3 linked regions of the Arabidopsis thaliana genome follow. The protein of the gene in region 1 interacts with the protein of each later gene in a biochemical or structural test. Each region holds a gene or a part of one and is shown in the gene's direction. Other genes may lie near its edges.

Region 1 (7,881 bases):
CTTCTTAAGGTTGGCTGGAGTAACGCTTGTTGCTCCAGTGGTGAACTATTGGTGGAAGAACTTTCCATCAGAGATCTCAACCGAAGCTTTTAACCAACAAGGGAGAAATGACCAATGGGCGGTTCGTGTTGCACACTATGCTCCTTGGCTTACTCATTGGTGGAACTCCCAGAGCTGGTTCCCTGGATCAAGTGTTGTGGCTCGCAATCTCGGTATGTTGTCCAAAGCAGACAAAGAGATCATGTTTAAGCTCGGTGCTGCAAGGAGCCAACATGAGGTATATACAACATTCTTCATGACTTCTTTTTCTTCACCTACCTATTTGCATTTATCAAATCTAAGTCTCTATGAAGGCACAAATAAGGCAACAAGGAACACACGAGACATTGCACCGTGACATGATTGTTGGATTTGGAACTTGGGAGTTCGATCCAATGGAGCTCGAGAATCTGTTCCCGAACAATGAAGGATCAGTGCACTTGTGGCAGGGAGATGATGATGTGCTTGTCCCTGTGACTCTGCAACGTTACATTGCGAAGAAGCTGCCATGGATCCATTACCATGAGATTCCTGGAGCAGGGCATTTGTTCCCGTTTGCTCCAGGTATGGTTAATAACATTGTTAAAACGCTCTTAACCAATGATGGAGTGAAGAAGTAAACGATGTCTTCTCTCTCAAAAAGTTGGCTAGTTTTGGTTTTGTAACATGCATTGCTATGATATTTTGAACCGGGATCAGAGAGATTCATGAGAATCTCAAGTTTCTCTTGGTTGCTGATATATATTGTGGGTGATTAGTAAAGAGTTCTGGTACCTATGTAAAACATTCTCAGCATTCATCTCAAAAAGCTGTTTCTGTATATCACCCAATTTTAGGCTAATGTCAACTAGTTTAATATTAGGCTTAGACAGCCATTAATTGTGAGATGTGTCAGAACAAAATTAGGTGTATTAATTGAATTATGGGCCACTTGTGTTTGTGTTTGCATGGTCTAAAAACAATCAAAGGAAAAAAGTAACTAAAGAGGCCAATATGATAATTAATAGTTAAGTTTATATAAAACCGCATTAGGCTAATTAGCATCAATCCGACCTTAGCTCAGTTGGTAGAGCGGAAGACTGTAGTAGTTGCTGTAATCTTTAGGTCGCTGGTTCGATTCCGGCAGGTCGGATAATCTTTTTTATTTTTGTTTTTAGTTTTTTGGCTATTAGAAACACTTGATAAATTAAGCATTTAAAATTCGATAGTCCTTATGCAGTGAATAGTCCACGTGCACTCCCAATGGAAGTTCGGAATCATGTTTTTTTTTTTTTGTCAAAGTTAAATAAAATATCTTCGAAAAAAAAAGTAAAAAAGGAAGAGGATAATTTCTCGACTTTGATTTGTTTTAATTCTTTAATAAGTTTTTGTCTCACTAAACGTAATTCTATTCAAAATCTAACAAGTCTACTTTCACCAGCTAGAAGCTCAACGACAAACAAGTGTTTACAAACTTTGACTATTTCTTTCATAACATCTTGAATCTAACCTAAATATGTTTTTACCAAAGTAAATCAGTATTGATCAATCAAATTAATCCGTCAATTTCACAAAACAAATCATGAACCAATATGTAAAAAAAGATCACACTTTAATTCGCTCTTCTAATCCAAATTTCACGTTCTTATTATCTTATATATGCTTAAAAGAGAGAAAATCATGTCTAGTTTTAGACGTAAAAAAACATTTGTGTAGCCGAAGTCACACGTGTCGAGCCTGTGAGAAGACACTGCAAGAAACAGAAGAGAGACACGTGCAGGACACGTGTCGTCCGCAGCCGAACGGATTCTTTGTCTCTGATCATGGGCCTGGACCTGGACCTGTCTAAGTTAGCATTCCATTGGTCGAAAGATAACTTTAGACAAAAGATGTTGACCTTCACGCCTCTCTTCTTAGACCCCACGCGCCACACTCTCACGGTGAGAACATAAATATCAATCTCTCTTTTACCGCCTCCTACCCATTTATCTCTCTCTTTCTCAAAACCTTTCAGTCAAAATTCTCCGGCGGCTTTTAAACTATGTGAAGGAGGAGAACCTCCATAACAAGAAGCGGATTCTCTCAGTTTTCCGGCGGCGGAGGAACACAAAGCCACCGGTTTTTAGACACACAGATTTCATTTTCAGGTTAACACTTTTCTTGTTTTATAATTTTTCAAGATCTTGGATTAGAAGACTGTTAAATAAATCTATCTCTTTATTTATAAGTTTAGGTCTTCGTTTTCTGGTCCTTACTTATCTGCGTATTACCAAATATTAAACTTTGTGGTAAAGTGATACTTAGTAATAGACGGATATAATGATGACCCAAGCTAATGATTAATTTATTTTACTAATCATCAGGTTAAGCTCTAGATTATCTTTTGTTTAAAACCGTATTAATAAATGATTAAAGAGGAAAAAAATCTTGTGTTGATAAGTTCGCTTTAAGAAGAAAACGAGTGGGTTAAGATATTTTCCTCTTTTGGTAACGAAAACTTTATTGGAAGAGTAAATTATTAGTTTATTTATTGCTAATTTTAGTATCGTTTGTCGCTGTCACGATGTGGACCGTTCTTCTTTATTTTCACGTGGACCGACTTAATTACCTTCTTTCATTCTTGTTATTTCAATATTTTTTACGTCATTTAAACTCCACTTTACCAAAATAATTTATTTCATTCTTTGAGAGCATCAATTATCAAATAATTCAATTGTCTTTTTTCGTGATAGTTGAATAAGGGACAACTATTAAGTGAGTTTCGTGAATAGCTGAACAGGGACAAGTAACTGAAGTTTGGTCAAAATAATACGATGAATTTAATATATAAGAGACAAAATTGTTATTGTCGTTTAGGTGGTATCCATATTTCAATATAGTTTGTGTGAATACAGATATAAAAATGGTTATTGTTGTGTATATGATGCAGTTGTTAAATGGTAACTAGAGAAACGAAGTTGACGTCAGAGCGAGAAGTAGAGTCGTCCATGGCGCAAGCGAGACATAATGGAGGAGGTGGTGGTGAGAATCATCCGTTTACTTCTTTGGGAAGACAATCCTCTATCTACTCATTGACCCTTGACGAGTTCCAACATGCTTTATGTGAGAACGGCAAGAACTTTGGGTCCATGAACATGGACGAGTTTCTTGTCTCTATTTGGAACGCAGAGGAGAATAATAACAATCAACAACAAGCAGCAGCAGCTGCAGGTTCACATTCTGTTCCGGCTAATCACAATGGTTTCAACAACAACAATAACAATGGAGGCGAGGGTGGTGTTGGTGTCTTTAGTGGTGGTTCTAGAGGCAACGAAGATGCTAACAATAAGAGAGGGATAGCGAACGAGTCTAGTCTTCCTCGACAAGGCTCTTTGACACTTCCAGCTCCGCTTTGTAGGAAGACTGTTGATGAGGTTTGGTCTGAGATACATAGAGGTGGTGGTAGCGGTAATGGAGGAGACAGCAATGGACGTAGTAGTAGTAGTAATGGACAGAACAATGCTCAGAACGGCGGTGAGACTGCGGCTAGACAACCGACTTTTGGAGAGATGACACTTGAGGATTTCTTGGTGAAGGCTGGTGTGGTTAGAGAACATCCCACTAATCCTAAACCTAATCCAAACCCGAACCAAAACCAAAACCCGTCTAGTGTAATACCCGCAGCTGCACAGCAACAGCTTTATGGTGTGTTTCAAGGAACCGGTGATCCTTCATTCCCGGGTCAAGCTATGGGTGTGGGTGACCCATCAGGTTATGCTAAAAGGACAGGAGGAGGAGGGTATCAGCAGGCGCCACCAGTTCAGGCAGGTGTTTGCTATGGAGGTGGCGTTGGGTTTGGAGCGGGTGGACAGCAAATGGGAATGGTTGGACCGTTAAGCCCGGTGTCTTCAGATGGATTAGGACATGGACAAGTGGATAACATAGGAGGTCAGTATGGAGTAGATATGGGAGGGCTAAGGGGAAGGAAAAGAGTAGTGGATGGTCCAGTGGAGAAAGTAGTGGAGAGAAGACAGAGGAGGATGATCAAGAACCGCGAGTCTGCTGCTAGATCTAGAGCAAGAAAACAAGTAAATAGAGACCTTCTTCATTCCTTTTATGATGTTTCTTGTTGAAAAAAATCTAATGTTTGTTGTTGTTGTTTTGGGAAGGCATATACAGTGGAATTGGAAGCTGAACTTAACCAGTTGAAAGAAGAGAATGCGCAGCTAAAACATGCATTGGTATATATTTACTCATCTCGTTAAAGAGTTTATTCTTTTTGTGAAAGTGAGTTTGTAACAATTTAGCCTTTGTTATGTTTTCATCAAGGCGGAGTTGGAGAGGAAGAGGAAGCAACAGGTAAAGACACCTATTGAGTTTGCATTACTAAGATGGTTGCAGTATTTTGGTCAGAAGAAAACTACAAAATGGAATTGTTGGTTTATGGTTGCAGTATTTTGAGAGTTTGAAGTCAAGGGCACAACCGAAATTGCCGAAATCGAACGGGAGATTGCGGACATTGATGAGGAACCCGAGTTGTCCACTCTAAACAAACAATAGGAAGATGGAGAAGAAGTCGGAGACAGAACGAGGGAAAAACTGATGATTTTCTACGTTGTTGTTTTGTCTTTGAGGAATGAGGTTATAGAATCTTTATACTTTGATGTTTTCTGTGTTGGTAGGAGGAACACCATCTGATCTGCTTTACTAGTGTTCCCTGTGAACAAAGAAAGTGATTCTGTGTTTCAACATCATCAATCTTTGGAAAATATAACGAGTGTTATGCTCACTTGTAGATTTAGGTACACTCTGTTTCTGTGCACTACCATGAAGAGTCTTAATTTGGAATGACACAATGCGCAAGACAAAAGATACTCGGGACACAAGTCAGATAGTTAAACCTAGTAACCTAGATAGATCAAGATGCAAATTACATTAGAGTACTGCTTAACATTCAGTAATACAAGGAGAGAAAGAGCAAGGAACAAAGTAAACGTGAGAGAGAGAGAGTGTTGTCTTCTTCATGTTGATTTGTCTATTGCATTCTCTGTGGAACACACTCTTCTCGAGTCATATACCTTCTCCACTTCCTCTTCTAGCTGCAACAACAACAATCAAGAACAAGAGAAACAAGTTAGTTAGTGATTGAAAGTAGGGTAAATTTTCTTAAGATTAAGTCGAAGAATTAATTAGAACCGTTTCGGAAGAGCACTGAGATCGTCTTGATCAGTGTCAACCGTGTTGGTTTGGAAGACTCTGTAATCATGTAACTTACAAAATCAAACACTCTAAAATCACTAATAACCCGTACGAATCAAGTAAACTCTAAACCCTAGAAAACTCTCAATTCCGAGAGAACAGAAATGCTTACTTGGCTTGACAATGGATATGGATCTCAATGGATGTTTGGCATGTCTTGATGGATTTACCACGCCAGCCCTGTTTCTTCTTGCACACAGTTCTCTCAACCTTCTTGATGACGTAGCAGCCGTCGGAAGTGGAATCTCCGAGCTGTTGATCGGTGATATCGTCAGAGGAGGAGGAATGGAGGATGAATCTTTTTGCCAGAATCTTTTCTTCTTCTTCTTTTGTGTGAGTGAGAGAGAGAGTGTGAGAATCTTGTAGAGGAAGATGTTTGTGTTTTAAAGTGGCTGACTTTAACCGGGCTAGAGTAATCAACCACACTCACATTTCTACCCACTTTTTTTTACCAGGCTTCAGTGTGGGGTTTTTATTTATCGTAAAATGTTTCCGACTTGGCCAATTTTTATGTCGGAGTTATTTTTGATGTCAAAATTTCATTGGTTTGTTGAAGTCGTAAGAAATCCAGAGTAATACGTAGAAACGAAACCCATTTCCACACACACTTATTCACATTACATTAAATCATCGCAAACGTCGCAAATTGCGAACCTACACGGAAGACAGCCTTAAGATAGTTGTATTTACAAAGCAAATTTCATCGACTACTGTGGTAGAGTAATAGAGTTATATATGTCTTATTATGTTATATGTGTAATTTTGCCTTTCATGTTGTCGTGAATGACTCACCACATCCACACTTTGTCGCGTTTGGATTGACGAACACAAACTCAGACCTGTGCCAATACAATGCAAACATGTTTACCATGAATAAAGAGAGTGTCAAGATTGGCACGTGAAAGGGCACAAACCTAAGCTTATCGTCCACGAAATCCATCTCTGTCCCAATCACATGCATCACCGCCTTTGGATCCACAAGGATCTTTACACCTTTCTCCTCGACCACCTCATCAAACTTCCCTTTCTCCTCTGAAAACAAAGATCATAGCAGAACAACGCCAAATAGGAAGCCTCAGGAGTCAGGACACATTTAAGTCATCTATTAAAAGTTCTCAAAAGTGCTACAAAACAAAAGGTCTTAGGTTCCTAGGAAGGTGACAAAACCTACCCTAAAACTTGACTCTGAACCTGATAGAATATGTGCCTTTAATTATTACATACATCTCTCTAATCAATATGAACTCCCTCCTCATCATGAGCATCAAATATATATCAACATAATTTATGAGGAAAAAATCAACAAAAAAGAAATATATATGTGGGAAAAAATGGAAATTACGGGCGTAATTGAGGACGTAAGATAGGCCATTGCATCCTTTGGCTTCAACAGCAAGGCGGAGGAAAGGTTTTTGCTGATGCTGCAGAAGTTGGCGAATCCTCGCAGCCGCCGTGTCACTCAATGCTAATACTTGCTTTCTCATCGCCGACCAAATATTCGAGGATTTCAAATTTGTGCTAAAGATTTTTCAGAGAGGAAGAAGACGTCCAAGCAAATTTGTTACAAGTTGATATTTAAAGAGCCATTGTACTTTAATATATAATTTAGTGAACAAGTCTTAAGAACTGTTTAGGCCTGTAAAGCCCGAAAGAATTAGTATTAGTAATATATAAAGTTTGTATTGAATATGGGATGATGAAACGATCTAGCTTCCAGAAAAAGTCTTAATTACACAACATAATAATAACTACCAAACGTGTCAACGCTCCCGTATTCGTCCACTAACATTCTCCCATGAACCCTAAGTTATAAGTCCTCCAAGGCTACGATCACATTTACAAGCGGAAAATTGTTGTGTTTGATTTGTTTCTTGTTTTATTCTCACTCTAAGCCTCTGGTTATATAGCATTTTTTGGCGGAAAAGCTAATCGCAAAACATGAGATTATAATTATGCGACATGTCAAATTGTTATGAAAACATTTTATATAATAAGAAATTTATTTGGTATAGTATCATATGAAACAAAGAGTCAATACAATATCAATGTCATTATATGTGCTCATTATGTTAAGTTGAGTCAAGGCACTTTACTAAGAACACTTCAATAATTATATTTAACTATTTCTGTGTATTCATACGTATGATACAAGGTTTGGTGTTCTATATACTTTATCCTCATCCCTTGAATTTTAGTTGGGCCAAAATAATGACATTAAAATTATAATATGTTGCTATATAAAAAATTGTTACAATTTGGATGCAACATAGAGAGATCATTAGCGAGACATTGGGTGGATCGTGCAATTCATTTCTGTTTTGTCAACTAGCAATTCAAATTATGGCGACATTATATACATTAATCCATATTACACAAAAACTAATAAACTATATATGTCTTGGATTCAAATAGAAGAAATAAAAGTCAACGAGTTTGCCCTATAAATGATTCTATGCTTTCAAATAGTTAGCTACAAGCTCATCAATCTCTGCTCTATTAAAAAAAGAAGAAGAAGCAAACACAAAACAACAACAAAGAAATATGGCAAAGCTCATAGTTAACTTCTCTGCTCTCTTGATGATCATCTTGTTGGTTTCTAATGGTAATTTTAAGATTTTCTTAACT
Region 2 (7,375 bases), on another chromosome or scaffold:
TTGAAGGCACCAAATGGGAAGCTCTCAAGCCTTGTATGAAAGGCATGAACGCTTGGCTTTTCGTCCAGACCGATGAAATCCCTTCTGCTATCAAACCCTACCGGAGCTTCCAGAAGGAACGCAAGCTTGAAAACAATGACTTTGCCGGCGCTGTCTTCGAAGGTAAGTTCTACGCTCCTGACAATTTCAAAGTCCTCGAGACCATGCCCACTCGTGCTGAGGTCTACGCTAAGATGCTCGGTGCTCTGCAATCTCCGGCTATTAATCTCGTCACTACTTTACAAGCACCAGCAAGAGAGGTTATAATGGTGCTTATGGCTTACATTAAGAAGTTGGAAGATGAGAGTAATGCATAGTTAAGCTTGTACTAATCTTTTGGAGAATGTAATGTACGCAACAAAAGGCAATTCAATTTTTTGTTTATGACTCTCTCAAGCACCAATTGTTATTACAGTGACTGAGTTTTATTGAAATGTTGTTTTTCGGAGTGCTCTCAAGCTATCATAACGGTCTTGTTTAGATGTACTTAGAGAGGATAGATTCAACAACTCCCTGAGCTATGGGGTGATAAGTTTCTCGAGCTTCTGCAAACACCTGTTTTGCCAGCTGCTTCTCTTCTGTTCCACCAGATTGTGCAAGAGCAGTGAAGAGTGGACGCAGGTACTTCATCCTTCCTACCTCTTTTAGTGTTTTCTTCACTTCCCCATGGTACTCTCTGCACTTGGATGTGACTGCAAGTTGCAGAAACGAGACCTTCACTTCATAGTCTTTCGATTCTGCCAGTCTGTACCGCTTGTCCAAGGCCATGACCTGATTCATCAATGAGCAAAGTGGGTGTTAGCCATAGGTTTGAACCTGATCACCAATCCTTCCTTTGTTGACTAGCATTGTCATTAACAAACAAGATAAGATCCTAACTCTTGCAAAGCCAATACACTTTCCACAATCATGAACTCTCCCAAAGCCAAGAGGGTTTTTCCACAATCATTATTCACTAGCCCCACATTAATCCAAGAGTAACTATTGAGCTAACCTAACTGACAGTTAGTTAGGCCTTTTTCTCCTCCTTATGTAAGCTTATTGAGTAGTTCAACCTAAGTCAAGCCATTTCCCATTATCTTAGAGGAAGAAATAAAGATTCACTCAGCAAGTACAGCTCCAAGTACAGCTCCCATTAACTTAGAGGAAGAAAGGAGTAAAGAGTACCTGAGAAGGTTCACATGATTTAGGAAGATTCTCCAAGTACAGCTCCCATTCCTGTCCGTTCCACTCAGCAACATCATCCTCACTTGGCATCTTTCCTTCCTTAAACTCTTTCGCCAGGGATATGATCTTTGTGTAAATGGTTGAGACTGGTTCATATGCATCCTCTGGTATACCAACGCCCTCAGTCCACAGCTGTAGATTGATCTCTTTCTCTATGCCAGGGATGTTTGCTTTCAGGAATTCAAGAAATGTGTTTGTATCGATTGACTTGAACTTGAAAGTAGCAATGTATTTCTTGAGGAATTCGTCAAAAGCAGTTCTTCCAATCTGAAAGTTTTCCAGTAAATAGATGACCATTATTGTAAACATTACATAACAAAACACCTAAGCGAAGAGGGCAATTCAACTAACCTGGCGTTCAATTCGCAACACAAATTGGAATCCTTTTTCATATGGGACCTGAGAATATACATCATCTGGATCAACACCTTCTTGTTTGTTCCACAGTTTAGTGCACTCCAAGTTGTCCTTAAACCGTTCCATTTCATCAGTTAAACCCCTCCAACCAATGCCAATGTTCAAAGTAGCTATATCCGCCCCTTGAACAACCTCCACAATTCTCCTCTCTGCGTAAGTTGTAAATCCCTATTGCCATGAACATGAAATAAACACTTTCCCATCAACAAGGCAAACTCTAAAAACGGACACACAGTTACACATCCTAATTTGTAGCTAAAAGAAGCAAAAGCACAAGACAATTCAAAGCTACCTCATTCAACCAGAAGTGTTCATTGTTGATATTAGTGATCAAATTCCCAGTCCAGCTATGTGCGAGCTCGTGAGCTACAACTTGAGCTCCAGTGGCGTCTCCTTTGATAACAGTAGGCGTCAGGAAAACCATTCTTGGATTCTCCATACCTCCATAAGGAAAACTCGGAGGCAGCACCAGTAAGTCAAATCTCTCCCACTCGTAATCTCCAAACAGCTTCTCCCCTTGCTTGATCATATCCTCCGTTCCTGCAAACTCCAGAGCAGCCGCATCTAGAACTTCAATGGCGGCAGATTCTGTGTATACCCGAGTCCTAGGTCCAACTTCCCGAAACCCTAACTCACCAACGGCAAAAGCAAATAGATAAGGCGGTATAGGCTGTTCCATAGCAAACTCTTCCACAACTCTATCCTCACCACACCACAGTGACGACCCCAGCGACCCAGCCTCGAGATGTTTAGCCTCCTCAGGAACCGCAAGCCTACGACGGACGTGGCGAGCCGACATGACGGCAGAGAGCGAATTCGGTATGTTCATAACGACGTCGTAACGGATCCTCGCGGCAGGAGTGTCCTGGCATGGGAAAATGGATCTGGCGTGAATCGCTTGACACTGCGTGTAGACATAAGGATGCAATTTGGAGAAAGTTTGAAGCGGCGAAAGCCACTGGAGAGCGGAAGCAGAAGGCGAAGTGGAGTAGACAATTAGCAGTGAAGATTGACCGGAGAGGACTACGACAACTTCGGTGCCCCGAATTCGATCCGGTGTGGTGGAGACGGAGTAAGGGATAGGCTCGAGAGTGAGAGGATCGAGGACCATAGCAATGGAAATGCAGCGAGTATCAAGAGAGAGTTCGCCGGAGAAGGCGGAGGAGAGAGTGAGGAGAGCGGAGCCATGGATTATGGAGGTGTTGAAATCGAGGTAGAGGGAGAGAGCGACATGCGTGGTGAGAGGATGAGAGGAATCGGTGAAAGAGTGTGGATCAATGGGTGCCATTGCTGAGTGAGAGAAGCTTGCTTAGGGTTTTGAGGAAAGGGGCAGTTAGAGAGGTGGAGAAGAGAGTATAAAGCGGGAGAAAAAGAAAAAATGAAGAATTGTTGTTCGATGGTACCATTTTATGATGATAAATAATGTATTTTTGGAATAATTTGGTTAATGGAGAATCATTTAGTGCATAAAGTTGAAACCGTTAGATATTAAACGGCGACTAAATACAATGTTAAACCCAAGTTGGATGAACCAAAAGCACACCAAGCCACCAACAATCCTGAGATTTTTAACAACCATCTTTTTGGGCTTGAGCCTCTATTGAGCTTCAAGTTTTAGGTCCATGAGTTATACACTCACACGAGTAATCTACTTAGCAACAAACAACGAGTTTACATTTTGGTATTGGTGTCAGATTTATCGTCTCATTATTTGGTGAACTCTATTACAAGATCAAACAATCTATTTGTTTTTGCATTTGGCTCAAAAGCTACTTGGTAAAAACTTCGCCAAAAAAAAAAACTCTCAGTAAAAATTACAATTATTTTTTCCTGATGGTTTAAGTTGTTGATGACAACAAATATAAAATCTGATGGTTGACGATTACTACTATTAGGAGAGTCAATAAACGGGTTCGAGCACAAGTGCTGACGGCACCCACCCGTCAAAACCGACGAAACCAGAGAGCCCTCGAGACTCAACCCCAAATAAAATTGGAAAAAAATGAAAATAAAAATAAAAATGATGATATAAAACCCTGAAGAAGAACCTTTTTCACATTTTTCTTACAATTTTTATTCTTGCTTGCTCGTGTCTGATTTTTCCCAGCCAATTTTGATCTACCTTTCAAAAATTCCACCTTTTTCTTTCTTCTCCATGGATCTGTTCTTCTCTCCTTGATCTGGATCGACTTTACTGAGTTTCCTTCCCCCCCCCCCCCCCCCAGATATGTTCTGAGGAACTCTCTCTACTGAATTGATTGGTCTTTCACTCCCTTCTTACTCTTTGATCTCGCGACCTAAATTAATTTAGGGCTTTCTCTTTTCGGAGCTCTCATGGTTGGGAGAGTCAAGGTCCCTTGTTGTTCCGTGTGCCACACGCGGTATAATGAAGATGAGAGAGTTCCTTTATTGCTTCAATGCGGCCATGGCTTCTGCAAAGATTGTCTTTCCAAGATGTTCTCTACTTCTTCCGACACAACCCTCACTTGTCCCCGGTGTCGCCACGTGTCTGTTGTTGGGAACTCTGTTCAGGGTCTCAGGAAGAACTACGCTATGCTTGCTCTCATTCACGCCGCATCCGGCGGCGCTAACTTCGATTGCGATTACACGGATGATGAGGATGACGACGATGAAGAAGATGGTAGTGATGAAGATGGAGCTCGTGCCGCTCGTGGATTTCATGCCTCAAGCTCGATTAATAGCTTGTGTGGTCCAGTGATCGAGGTCGGAGCTCACCCGGAGATGAAGCTGGTGAGGCAGATTGGGGAAGAGAGTAGTAGTGGTGGTTTTGGAGGTGTGGAGATGTGGGATGCAACTGTTGCAGGCGGTGGTGGACGGTGTAAGCACCGTGTGGCGGTGAAAAAGATGACTTTGACGGAGGACATGGATGTTGAGTGGATGCAGGGACAGCTTGAGAGCTTGCGGAGAGCATCCATGTGGTGTAGGAATGTTTGTACTTTCCATGGGGTTGTGAAGATGGATGGATCTCTTTGTCTTTTGATGGACAGGTGCTTTGGGTCTGTTCAGTCTGAGATGCAACGCAATGAAGGCAGACTTACTTTGGAGCAGATTCTAAGGTTCCTCTTTTGCTTCTCTTATTCTTTTTTTTTGCCTAGTATCTGGCTTTTACTGTGATCGTTTCTGTGCTTAAAGTCTCAAACTTTGATAGCCTGTTCCCTAATTAGAAATTACTGGACTAGACCCGACTTGGTTTTTTGTGATTGCTATTAGAAATATATATTGTAAGTGCACAGTTTTTCAGATTCTAGTGAAACAAGCAACTAAAACCTGGTGTCATTTGCCAAAAGGGCAACTTGTAAGATAACTTTAGTTTAGATGTTCTTAAAAAGCTAGGCACGAATTATAGTAGTTGTCATCTCTCTTTGTCATTACCAGCTGCAGCTACTTTTCATCTGTCAATGCCTCAATAGACAAACATTTTTTGGACTAGTCCTTTCCTTTTTAGTAGTGGATCCTTGAACCTACGTTTGCAAGATATCTTTGAGAAAGCCCTTTACATTAGTATGCTTCCTTCTAAAGTATATGACCAGAAATCATTTTTCAACGAACTGACATATCAAATCATGCAAAAAATTGTACGAATTGTTATACATTAATTTATCAAAGGACGCATCATCTAAAGATGATCCTTATTTTGTTGTCCTGGTTCTAATATTACCTTCAATTCACTTGTTTGTATTTCCTCCTATTTTCTGTTTTTAACTGAATTGCGTCATTTGGGACTATTAAATGTAAGCACTAATGCGTAAATGAGTGTTTTGTATTCTCCTTTCATATCGTGCTCATGTTGTTTTAAGTTTACAACTTAGAATATTCCTTCAGTGACCAACATATGTATTATTCCATTGCTCTTGTTGTGATATTAAATTTTACCAACTGTAGATATGGGGCTGATGTTGCTCGAGGGGTTGCAGAACTCCATGCAGCAGGTGTTATCTGTATGAATATAAAACCTTCCAATCTTCTTTTGGATGCAAGCGGCAATGCTGTGGTTTCTGATTATGGGCTCGCTCCCATCCTAAAGAAGCCAACATGCCAGAAAACTCGACCAGAGTTTGATTCCTCAAAAGTCACTCTATACACGGACTGTGTAACACTCAGTCCACACTACACTGCCCCAGAGGCTTGGGGACCGGTGAAAAAACTTTTTTGGGAGGATGCAAGTGGTGTATCTCCAGAATCAGATGCATGGAGTTTTGGCTGTACGTTAGTAGAGATGTGCACTGGATCCACTCCGTATGTGAAGCCTCTTCCTAGTTGATATTTCAGTTGTGTTTTGTGTCTGCCATTGTACTAACTGTCACTTAATTTTACAGGTGGGATGGTCTTAGTAGAGAAGAAATTTTTCAAGCTGTTGTGAAAGCCCGAAAAGTACCACCACAGTATGAACGCATAGTGGGTGTGGGAATTCCTCGGGAATTATGGAAAATGATTGGTGAATGTCTTCAGTTTAAACCGTCGAAAAGACCAACCTTTAATGCAATGCTTGCTACATTTCTTCGTCATCTACAAGAGATACCACGTAGCCCTTCAGCAAGCCCTGATAAGTAAGAGTTTTAAGTCCCTAAGATTACTTAGTTTTATGGTTTCCCTGTTTTCGTTGCTTGTCAGTAAAGAAGACCCTTTCACTTGTGTTAAGATTAATATTAGCACCAACACCTAAGATTATTTTTGTCATCATGCCTATATTCCTTCGCCTAACAATAATATAAACCATGTATGATGTAGTGGGATTGCCAAAATATGTGAAGTAAACATTGTACAAGCACCTCGCGCGACTAACATAGGGGTCTTTCAGGATAACCCTAACAACCTACATCGGGTTGTTTTGGAGGGAGACTTTGAGGGTGTAAGGTTAGTATCTGTTAGGAATTCTAGTTAATCCTTTTGTTCGCACTAGCTATAAACAACCTGTTCTCAACTACATTGGTTTGATTTTTGTTTTGGAGTAGAAATATACTTGCAAAGGCTGCAGCTGGAGGCGGTGGAAGCTCTGTGCGATCTCTATTAGAGGCGCAAAACGCTGATGGTCAATCGGCTCTTCACTTAGCTTGCAGACGTGGCAGTGCTGAACTTGTGGAGGCTATACTGGAGTATGGGGAGGCTAATGTAGATATCGTGGACAAAGATGGGGATCCTCCTCTTGTCTTTGCTTTAGCAGCTGGATCTCCACAATGTGTTCACGTTCTCATTAAAAAGGGGGCTAATGTGAGGTCCAGACTGCGGGAAGGATCTGGCCCATCTGTAGCTCACGTGTGTTCGTACCATGGCCAACCTGATTGTATGCGTGTAAGTCTCTGCTCCCGAGGAAGCTATCAGTCACTTTAAAGCTTCCACAACATGATCGCAAATCTTCCACTTATGTGAAGTGTATCAGATATTATGCTTGTCTTATATCTATTATCATGTTAATAACTATTCTCTGCTAATTGGTACTATCAATAGGAATTGCTGGTAGCTGGAGCCGATCCAAATGCAGTGGATGATGAAGGTGAAACTGTGCTTCATCGAGCTGTTGCCAAGAAATACACAGATTGTGCCATTGTTATATTGGAAAATGGGGGATCTAGATCAATGACTGTTTCAAATGCGAAGTGCCTGACGTAAGTACAGAAATGACCTCTTTCTATGCTAGGTAGACGGGACCATAAAATTTGGCACGGATAGATTA
Region 3 (7,513 bases), on another chromosome or scaffold:
TCGAACGCACAATTAACAAAACTTTCCCTAAGCTTCTCACCTCAAAAATCAAGTCTGCTCTGATCAAGATTCGTCCTTGGTAGGGGTTCTGAGATATCTCCCTTTCAAATTTACCACGGGAAGTTCACAAAATCAAATTTTTAGGGTTTCTAGCAGAGTGAGCTCGAAACCTAGAACCAGAGTAAAAGGAAAACGAAATGAGTAACGGCCAAGACGATTAGGGCAATCACATACATCAAAACAGAAATGAACGCAGAGAGGAATACTGATGCAAAATGCTAGAATTAGTGGATAGAGAAAGAGAGCTACTAGGGAAGAGAGAAAGAGGTTCAAAACTGGATTTAGGGTTTACAAAACCTCATTCGCAAGGAGATTGGTGATACAGAAATCGAAATTGAAATTTACCTGAAGTAGCCGAAGAGCTTTTTATCTTCGTCGAGATCTCAGAAGCAACGATTCATCAATGTTCAAAACACCCAAACGAACAATGGTGGTGGTGAAGCTAAAATTTTTATCAGGGAAAAAAAAAAAATTGGTGAAGCCTAAATCAGGAAATTAACGATTAAAGAGAAATGCGACGTATGCTTCAAAACGCTGCGTATGGTATTTGTTTATGATATTTTAGTTAAGTACATGGGGAAAATATATAGTTGAAAAGATTGTTTTGGTTTAGTATTTAGGTAAATGAAAATATGAGTCAATGATTTACAATTAAAAATATATTACCAAAAAAGATATCTAGTTTATAAAAAGTTAAAATTAAAATTAGTGATAAAAGTAAATTTTTTATTCAATTTAGATTTACTTAGAAAATCAAATTAGAAACTACGGTATTATGTTGAAGAAAATAATATATAGCACTATTTTCACTTTAACCATATACTTACTGGTTTATATAATCTCAACATTATCATCTTTAAACTTGGTTTAGGATAGAAATTTATTTCTGAAGAGTGTGAGTGTGATACATTGTTGATAAGGTTGATAAGAAAAGTACTTTGACACTAAGAAATAAGAATACTTGTTGAATTTGTTGAATGGATGAGTGAGTGCTTAGTAAATTAGAAACTAAATTTATCAAAACATAATATTTAATAAAACAAAACAAAACAAAAAAAATCGAAAATATCTGTAGGATAGCGTAAATAATCACCTAGGTAATTTAATTTTGCCATTCATGGAGTCAAGAGAGCAATGAAACACAAGAATGCAAAGAAAAAGCATTTGCTTAATGAAGTCATTTTGAGAAACTTCCTCCTTTCTAACGATCTCAGTTCCAAACCAACCGTCAATTAATCTCTAGATCTATTGAAAGAGATTGTTCGAAATTCTTCGAACAACACCAAACTCCGAGGAAACTCCACCACTATATACACCTAACTTGATGTAGTATGAACTTAGCAAAAGGAAGTGACAAAGATGTTACTCCTCGAAAAAATTGGAGAGATCGTATAAGATTTAGAAGAAAAACGGAGACATCAACGGACACAGATGGAAGAGAGATCAATTTCGCTAGAGCGTATATACACAAAAGTATATAAAATTTTGATAAATCGAACAAAGCTAATAACGGAAATCCGATAAAAGGTCGGCAGTTATTTTGTTTGTATATACACGAAAATATATAAAATTCCAGACAAAACCGAAATCAAACTCCATCGACAAGAAACCTCTCCTCTCAGAAGGATTTGAGAGAGAGAAGAAACTATTTTTAGTCGTCGGATTTTAATTTCGGTGTACTGAAAATTGCTTTCTCTATCTGAAAAATATGAGTGAGAAAATAGAAAAAAAAACATATTTTTCTGGTCGAGTACTCTTTTGTTTAAAAATTTCTTTAATTTCGTAACTTTTTGTTTCTATGAATCAAAGATCAAAATTACAATTTGTTATTGGATTTCAACGAATCCAATATATTTTTATTAATCCCAATAAAGTAACGTAAAAGGCAGAATACTTTACTAGTGTTATAATTTATATAGTTAACTAAAATTAGGTTTATGAAATACTATTTTACTAGAAATAAATACCCGATCGACCATGTTGAATTATTATTTTTATACATTAAATTTTTCGATTATATACTTCGAATTCTTGGGTCATAATCTAAATCTAAAAACTAATAACTTTTAAAATTGATTCACATAATAAATTCAAAACTAATAGCTTACACCACAATATAAATTAGTATTTTTTAATCTTAATATATTATGCCACAATCATCTACGTACTTGGATTATTATATGTACTAACCTTTCAGCTTCATTTCTAATTAACATGCAATCACTTAAATGATTTGCAGCATGACTCTTCATTAATGCAATGTAATAACATCAAAATTTAATTAAACGTCAATTACCGTTTCACTCTTCCATTATAAAAAGAAGTAACAAAAAAGTTCTCCCTAAAGATTTTGCTTGCCTGAAAAAAGTATGAATTGCATCAAACAATTTCTCTTGGCAATTTGCTTTTCTCTGGCCCTAACATGTCAAGACCATGTCTTAGTCGGCGGCACCACCACGAGAGACATTATAGTCCCGAAGATTTCTGAGTGGCAAGTCACGGTTGTTAACGGTTTGACAACTGGTGAAACTCTTTTCATCCATTGTAAATCTAAAGAAGATGATCTAGGTGAAATTAATCTGAAGTTTAGAAATAGATTTTCTTGGAACTTCGGAGAAAATATGCTTCACTCAACTTTTTTTTGGTGCTATATGAACAAAGATAATGGTCATATGAATGTAAACGTGTTTTGGGATGATGTTATCTTGTTCCATAGATGCGGTTGGAAGAATTGCATTTGGACTGCAAAAACTGATGGCCTTTATCTTTGGAATTCAGCGAGCGGTGAAGATGTATTGTCAAGAAAATGGGAAGTTGGATGGTGAAGCCATATTTTTGCTTTTTGGTAATTTTTTAGTACATGTATCTTGTTGTTTTTGGCAAAAAAAAAATTGAAATAATAAAAAACATTTGTTTTAACTTTCTCTCTTATTTTGTGTATTTTTCATCAATGATAGATTTTTTGTTTTAGTTCTTTATTTATAGGTCATTTAATTATTAGATTAATTTTCTGAGATAATAAGATCATAGATTAAATAACAATATTGTGTTTGTGATATATAGAGATTACATTTTACACTTATATATATTGGTAAGATTTCTTTTTGCTTTCAAACCATTAAAAACCTGTTAAACGATTAACTTGACTCAAGACAAAGCCATTGATTATTGACTCATGAATCTAGTGACTCATGATGAAGGAGACGAACAGTAAATATTCATTTGATTATTTTAGGTAAAAGGTAGTTCAGACCTAGTCATATATCCTCTAAATTCATATAGTGATGCAAGTATTTTGCATTACTTAGAACTTTATATTATTGATCACCCAACACATGATTTAATAAACGCCATGAAATGCATGTACTATATCAAAATGTTTCTGAAGCATATAGTTGACATGAGAATTTTGGATTGGACTTAAGAATGTGAGAGTTACCTGAAATGTCAATTTTTTTCCTTTTGTTAACGAAAACTCATTGGAACAATTGTATCCCCCTTTTGGCAGTATATAAATATATTGATGGCCCAAGTAGCTGTATTTTTCGTTATCAGCCAAGACTCAATAAAGTCTACCGGTCCAAATTTCAACTGAATCACCGGTCCAACCACTATTACCGTAACTAGACCGCTTTTTCTTTTTTACATTCGGACAAAAAAATCAAAATTTCGAGCAACTAAATTGATCTCATCTTCAATCAAATTCATCATCTTCGATACTCGTTTCTTCTCTCTTTGGTTTCATACAGATCCCAAATTTCTAGGGCTCCTAGTCCTTTGATTTCTTCGACTGGAATCGCAATTCCCCACTACGTCAAGCTGGACAGACACCGAAGGGATCGCCATGAGAGTGGCGGCTACGAGGATTCCTACCATAACCACCGAGCCCATCCCAGAGGTCCATCTCGTCCCTCAGATTCACGCTTCGAAGAGGATGATGATGATTTTCGCCGCCACCGTCGTCGTCGTGGAAGCAGCCCTAGCAATTATCGAATTGGAATTGGGGGCGGAGGAGGAGGTAATGGTGGTCGACGCTGGGAAGATGACACTCCTAAGGATTTTGATGGTCCCGGAGATGGAGGTTTCCGGCAGATGAATGGTCCCCCAGATAGAGTAGATTTTAAGCCTATGGGTCCTCACCATGGTGGAAGTTTTCGGCCTATGGGGTTTGCCTACGATGATGGTTTTCGTCCAATGGGTCCTAACGGTGGTGTGGGAGGAGAAGGGACACGGTCAATTGTTGGAGCTCGGTATAACTATCCCGCGAAGTATCCTCCTTCAGAGAGTCCAGACAGGAGGAGATTTATCGGTAAAGCAATGGAGTCTGATTATTCTGTAAGACCGACTACACCGCCGGTCCAGCAGCCTCTTTCCGGTCAGAAAAGAGGGTATCCTATCTCAGACCATGGCAGCTTTACTGGAACTGGTAAGCATGAGTTCACTCTTCTTTCTTCTATGTATATTTATTCTTGTAGTCTGTTAAGGTTCCTGAGTGTCTCTTATTTTTGTGGGAATCAATGATTAGAGTATTGAAAGGTAGTATGGTTGTTATGTTACTGTATTGTTGAAGGTTTTTCATGGGATCGACTCTAGAGGATCCTTTCGATTTTCCCATGTATGTGATAATCAAAACTATATGCCATCTTCATGTGTATCCTTATCTGGTTAATTTGATTTGCAGATGTCTCTGATCGTAGCAGTACAGTCAAGCTTTTTGTTGGATCTGTACCAAGGACAGCTACAGAAGAAGAAGTGAGTTAATCTTGGAAATCATTGTTATCTATATACTCATTACTGAGAACCTTTTCTAAATTTTTTCTGTTGGTTTTCATATTGTAGATCCGTCCCTATTTCGAACAGCATGGAAATGTTCTGGAGGTTGCTCTGATCAAGGACAAGAGAACTGGACAGCAGCAAGGTATGTCAATCTCCATTTTATTAGGAAATAGTCGTGAATTATACTTTTTAAAATTTCAGGTCTCCCTGAAAAGGCTGATGGGAAGCAACCCCAGTCTCATCATTGGCCTCCAATTGTTTGCAACAATTTTCGGGCTTATTGCTTATGCTTGCCAGCGTCTTATCTGTGTTCGATTCTGTCACAGAAGAAGGCTACCTGTGCTAAGAAAGGGTTTATGTACTTATGTTGGGCAAATAGATTTCGCTACTTGTGTGTATTCTAGAACTTTAGATGTGTTTGAAAAGTGTAGAATTTATTGAGGGTGTTTTAGAGTTGGAGTTAATGTACAGAGAACTGAATTTTGCTGTTGCCTTTATAGTGGGAATTGGTTATAAGAACATCGCTATTTTCCTCTCCTATTGAAATTCATTTTCTTTACTCTTCCTCTAGATGGATTGAAGATGTTGTGTATGGTCTTGACAGGATGAATGTATTTTTTTAAGTTGGTAGTTTGATAAGGACATGAGGTTCAAAAGATGGTTTCTTGATTTGCCACTCCTGCTGGTCAAAGATTTGGCCGTCTTTCTAATTTTATCATGTTGGAGGTTTGGCGTCTTCATTTTCTTTCATATCAATTTATGGGTGTGCTGTCTATTGGTTAATGATGGCATTCCTTTTACCTTTTTGGATGAGTGATGCTGGAATGAATGCGTTTCTCCTTTTCTTTTGTTGATGGCCTGAGGAACTATGATGGCTATATTTCTTTCCACTCTCTTTGAATGGCCTGAAATGTGTGCTTTCTGTATGGTCGTCCCTCTCAATTTCTTGGATGGCTTGTGATGTGATATACCATCTCTCGTCATAGGTGAATGAATGATTTGTTTAGTAGTTCTTATGTATGTATTTTGTATGTTCCCACGTCTCTATTCCTTGGATGGCTTGTGATGTGATATACCATCTCTCGTCATAGATGAATGAATATTTTGTTGAGTAGCTCTTATGTCTGTATGGTGGCCCTTGCAGTGCTGATCGATATTTATGTGGAAGAAATGTTTGATGATAGATTTTTTTTGTATGCTCCCTTTTCGCTAATCAAGCCTTTGTGCTTGCAAGGTGCAACTGTTATTTTATTATTGAATTTCCTGTTCTACTACTCCATTTAGTTCTGTCTCTATTTTGTCAGTGTGAAGAAATACTAGACGATGAATGGTGTGTTTGTACGTGCATAGTTATTTATAAATTCTTGACTTTCCAAGAAGTTATTATTTCTATAACTGCTACACCTTTGTGGATGGCAGAACAAATGCATCTGATTGTGGTGACATAAACACTTTTGATCGCGGTTGAATGTACTAGATTCCATACAACTCTTTCTTCAGCCTTGTGAAATATTATTATGTTAGGTGGTGCAAACATATGGAAGGAACCTGATTGTTTTAGTTTCTTAGAATAGTTTCTGATGTTAATACAGCATGTTGACTTCACTCTCTTGCCCTTGATCAATCAGCATCAGGCAGGGGCCTAATTATGTATTACATGAAGCAATCGTATTCTTTTCTGAATTAGATTTTTTTCCAATGAGTTATCTTGCCCATAACTGTAGTTCTTTATTTGAAGTCTTCAAATGCTTGATGTATGGTGACGAAAATGTGTATATGTTTTGGTTTTGATTATCCGCTACTCATCAATTATTGAGATTCTTACATACTGAATCCGTTACTTTGGACCTATAGTTATGTTTTATGTTGCTAATTAACTTGTACATGTTTCTAGATTTTCTTTCAAATGGATCCTGCTTGGACAAATGCAGCCACCCTTTGTCTGAAAGGCCCTCTTGTAGATATGTTATCTGCAGATACTGACTGTGTTCAATTTTTTAATATTTGTTTTTGCCATATTCTCCATTTGAAGACATTAATTTATTCTCTCCAACAACTTTACATCAATATTTAAGTGGAGGCTGTCAGACATGTCTTATGATTTTCCTACTGAACTTATGTGCTTTGAGTAGTACATCTTGTTACTAGTACAATTTGATGGTAGAAGGAAAAGTTGAACCCTGAAACAGATAGCTTAAGTATCAGTCTTTAATGCAGGCTGTTGTTTTGTAAAATATGCAACTTCGAAAGATGCGGATAGAGCCATCAGAGCACTGCACAATCAGATCACTCTTCCTGGGGTAATTACCCTGAGGCTTTCTCTTATCAAGAACAGGAAACTATAGGTTGTTTCACCTTTTATAATTTTGTTGATTCCCAGGGAACTGGTCCTGTTCAAGTTCGATATGCTGACGGGGAGAGAGAACGCATAGGTAATCAACTTCCACACAGAGTATCTAATGTGGCTGTCATTGTCTAGTGTTCATAGCCAAGACCATACGCTGCATAAGTTCAGATTACAAAAATTAAGAAAATGTGGGAAATGATATGAACTTTATGGATGTTGATCCTTTTCTTTCCCTGTTTTCTTTGCCTTACTATCAAGTGATATAGTTCTCTTCTTCTGAAGGCACCCTAGAGTTTAAGCTTTTTGTTGGTTCACTAAACAAGCAAGCCA

What was found.
Region 2: the proteins of ABI5 (region 1) and KEG form a complex in vitro, tested with the Arabidopsis thaliana proteins (2 studies listed by BioGRID, with this or other methods).
Region 3: the proteins of ABI5 (region 1) and FCA form a complex in vitro, tested with the Arabidopsis thaliana proteins (one study listed by BioGRID).

Annotation. Positions count from the first base shown.
Region 1 is NC_003071.7:15,201,645-15,209,525, reverse strand, and holds ABI5 (Basic-leucine zipper (bZIP) transcription factor family protein), read left to right. Parts: upstream 1-1,889; 5' UTR 1,890-2,165; intron 2,166-2,865; exon of another isoform or gene 2,866-2,947; 5' UTR 2,948-2,954; coding exon 2,955-4,085; intron 4,086-4,166; coding exon 4,167-4,238; intron 4,239-4,326; coding exon 4,327-4,458; coding exon of another isoform or gene 4,459-4,546; 3' UTR 4,547-4,781; downstream 4,782-7,881. Other genes in the region: AT2G36290 (alpha/beta-Hydrolases superfamily protein), read left to right, coding at 10-277, 354-659; AT2G36260 (Iron-sulfur cluster biosynthesis family protein), read right to left, coding at 6,026-6,095, 6,171-6,288, 6,599-6,740; AT2G36255 (Defensin-like (DEFL) family protein), read left to right, coding at 7,798-7,858. UniProt on the Arabidopsis thaliana protein: Participates in ABA-regulated gene expression during seed development and subsequent vegetative stage by acting as the major mediator of ABA repression of growth.
Region 2 is NC_003076.8:4,341,601-4,348,975, forward strand, and holds the start of KEG (protein kinases;ubiquitin-protein ligase), read left to right. Parts: upstream 1-3,601; 5' UTR 3,602-4,017; coding exon 4,018-4,760; intron 4,761-5,586; coding exon 5,587-5,940; intron 5,941-6,020; coding exon 6,021-6,251; intron 6,252-6,432; coding exon 6,433-6,558; intron 6,559-6,656; coding exon 6,657-6,993; intron 6,994-7,149; coding exon 7,150-7,307; intron 7,308-7,375. Other genes in the region: EMB3136 (Ribosomal protein L10 family protein), read left to right, coding at 1-356; AT5G13520 (peptidase M1 family protein), read right to left, coding at 517-810, 1,207-1,533, 1,618-1,851, 1,976-2,971. UniProt on the Arabidopsis thaliana protein: Mediates E2-dependent protein ubiquitination. Acts as a negative regulator of abscisic acid signaling. Required for ABI5 degradation, by mediating its ubiquitination.
Region 3 is NC_003075.7:9,211,052-9,218,564, reverse strand, and holds the start of FCA (flowering time control protein FCA), read left to right. Parts: upstream 1-3,739; 5' UTR 3,740-4,152; coding exon 4,153-4,486; intron 4,487-4,741; coding exon 4,742-4,812; intron 4,813-4,899; coding exon 4,900-4,978; exon of another isoform or gene 4,979-7,053; coding exon 7,054-7,136; intron 7,137-7,216; coding exon 7,217-7,268; intron 7,269-7,465; coding exon 7,466-7,513. Other genes in the region: SPH1 (S-protein homologue 1), read left to right, coding at 2,430-2,885. UniProt on the Arabidopsis thaliana protein: Plays a major role in the promotion of the transition of the vegetative meristem to reproductive development. Plays a role in the regulation of flowering time in the autonomous flowering pathway by decreasing FLOWERING LOCUS C mRNA levels.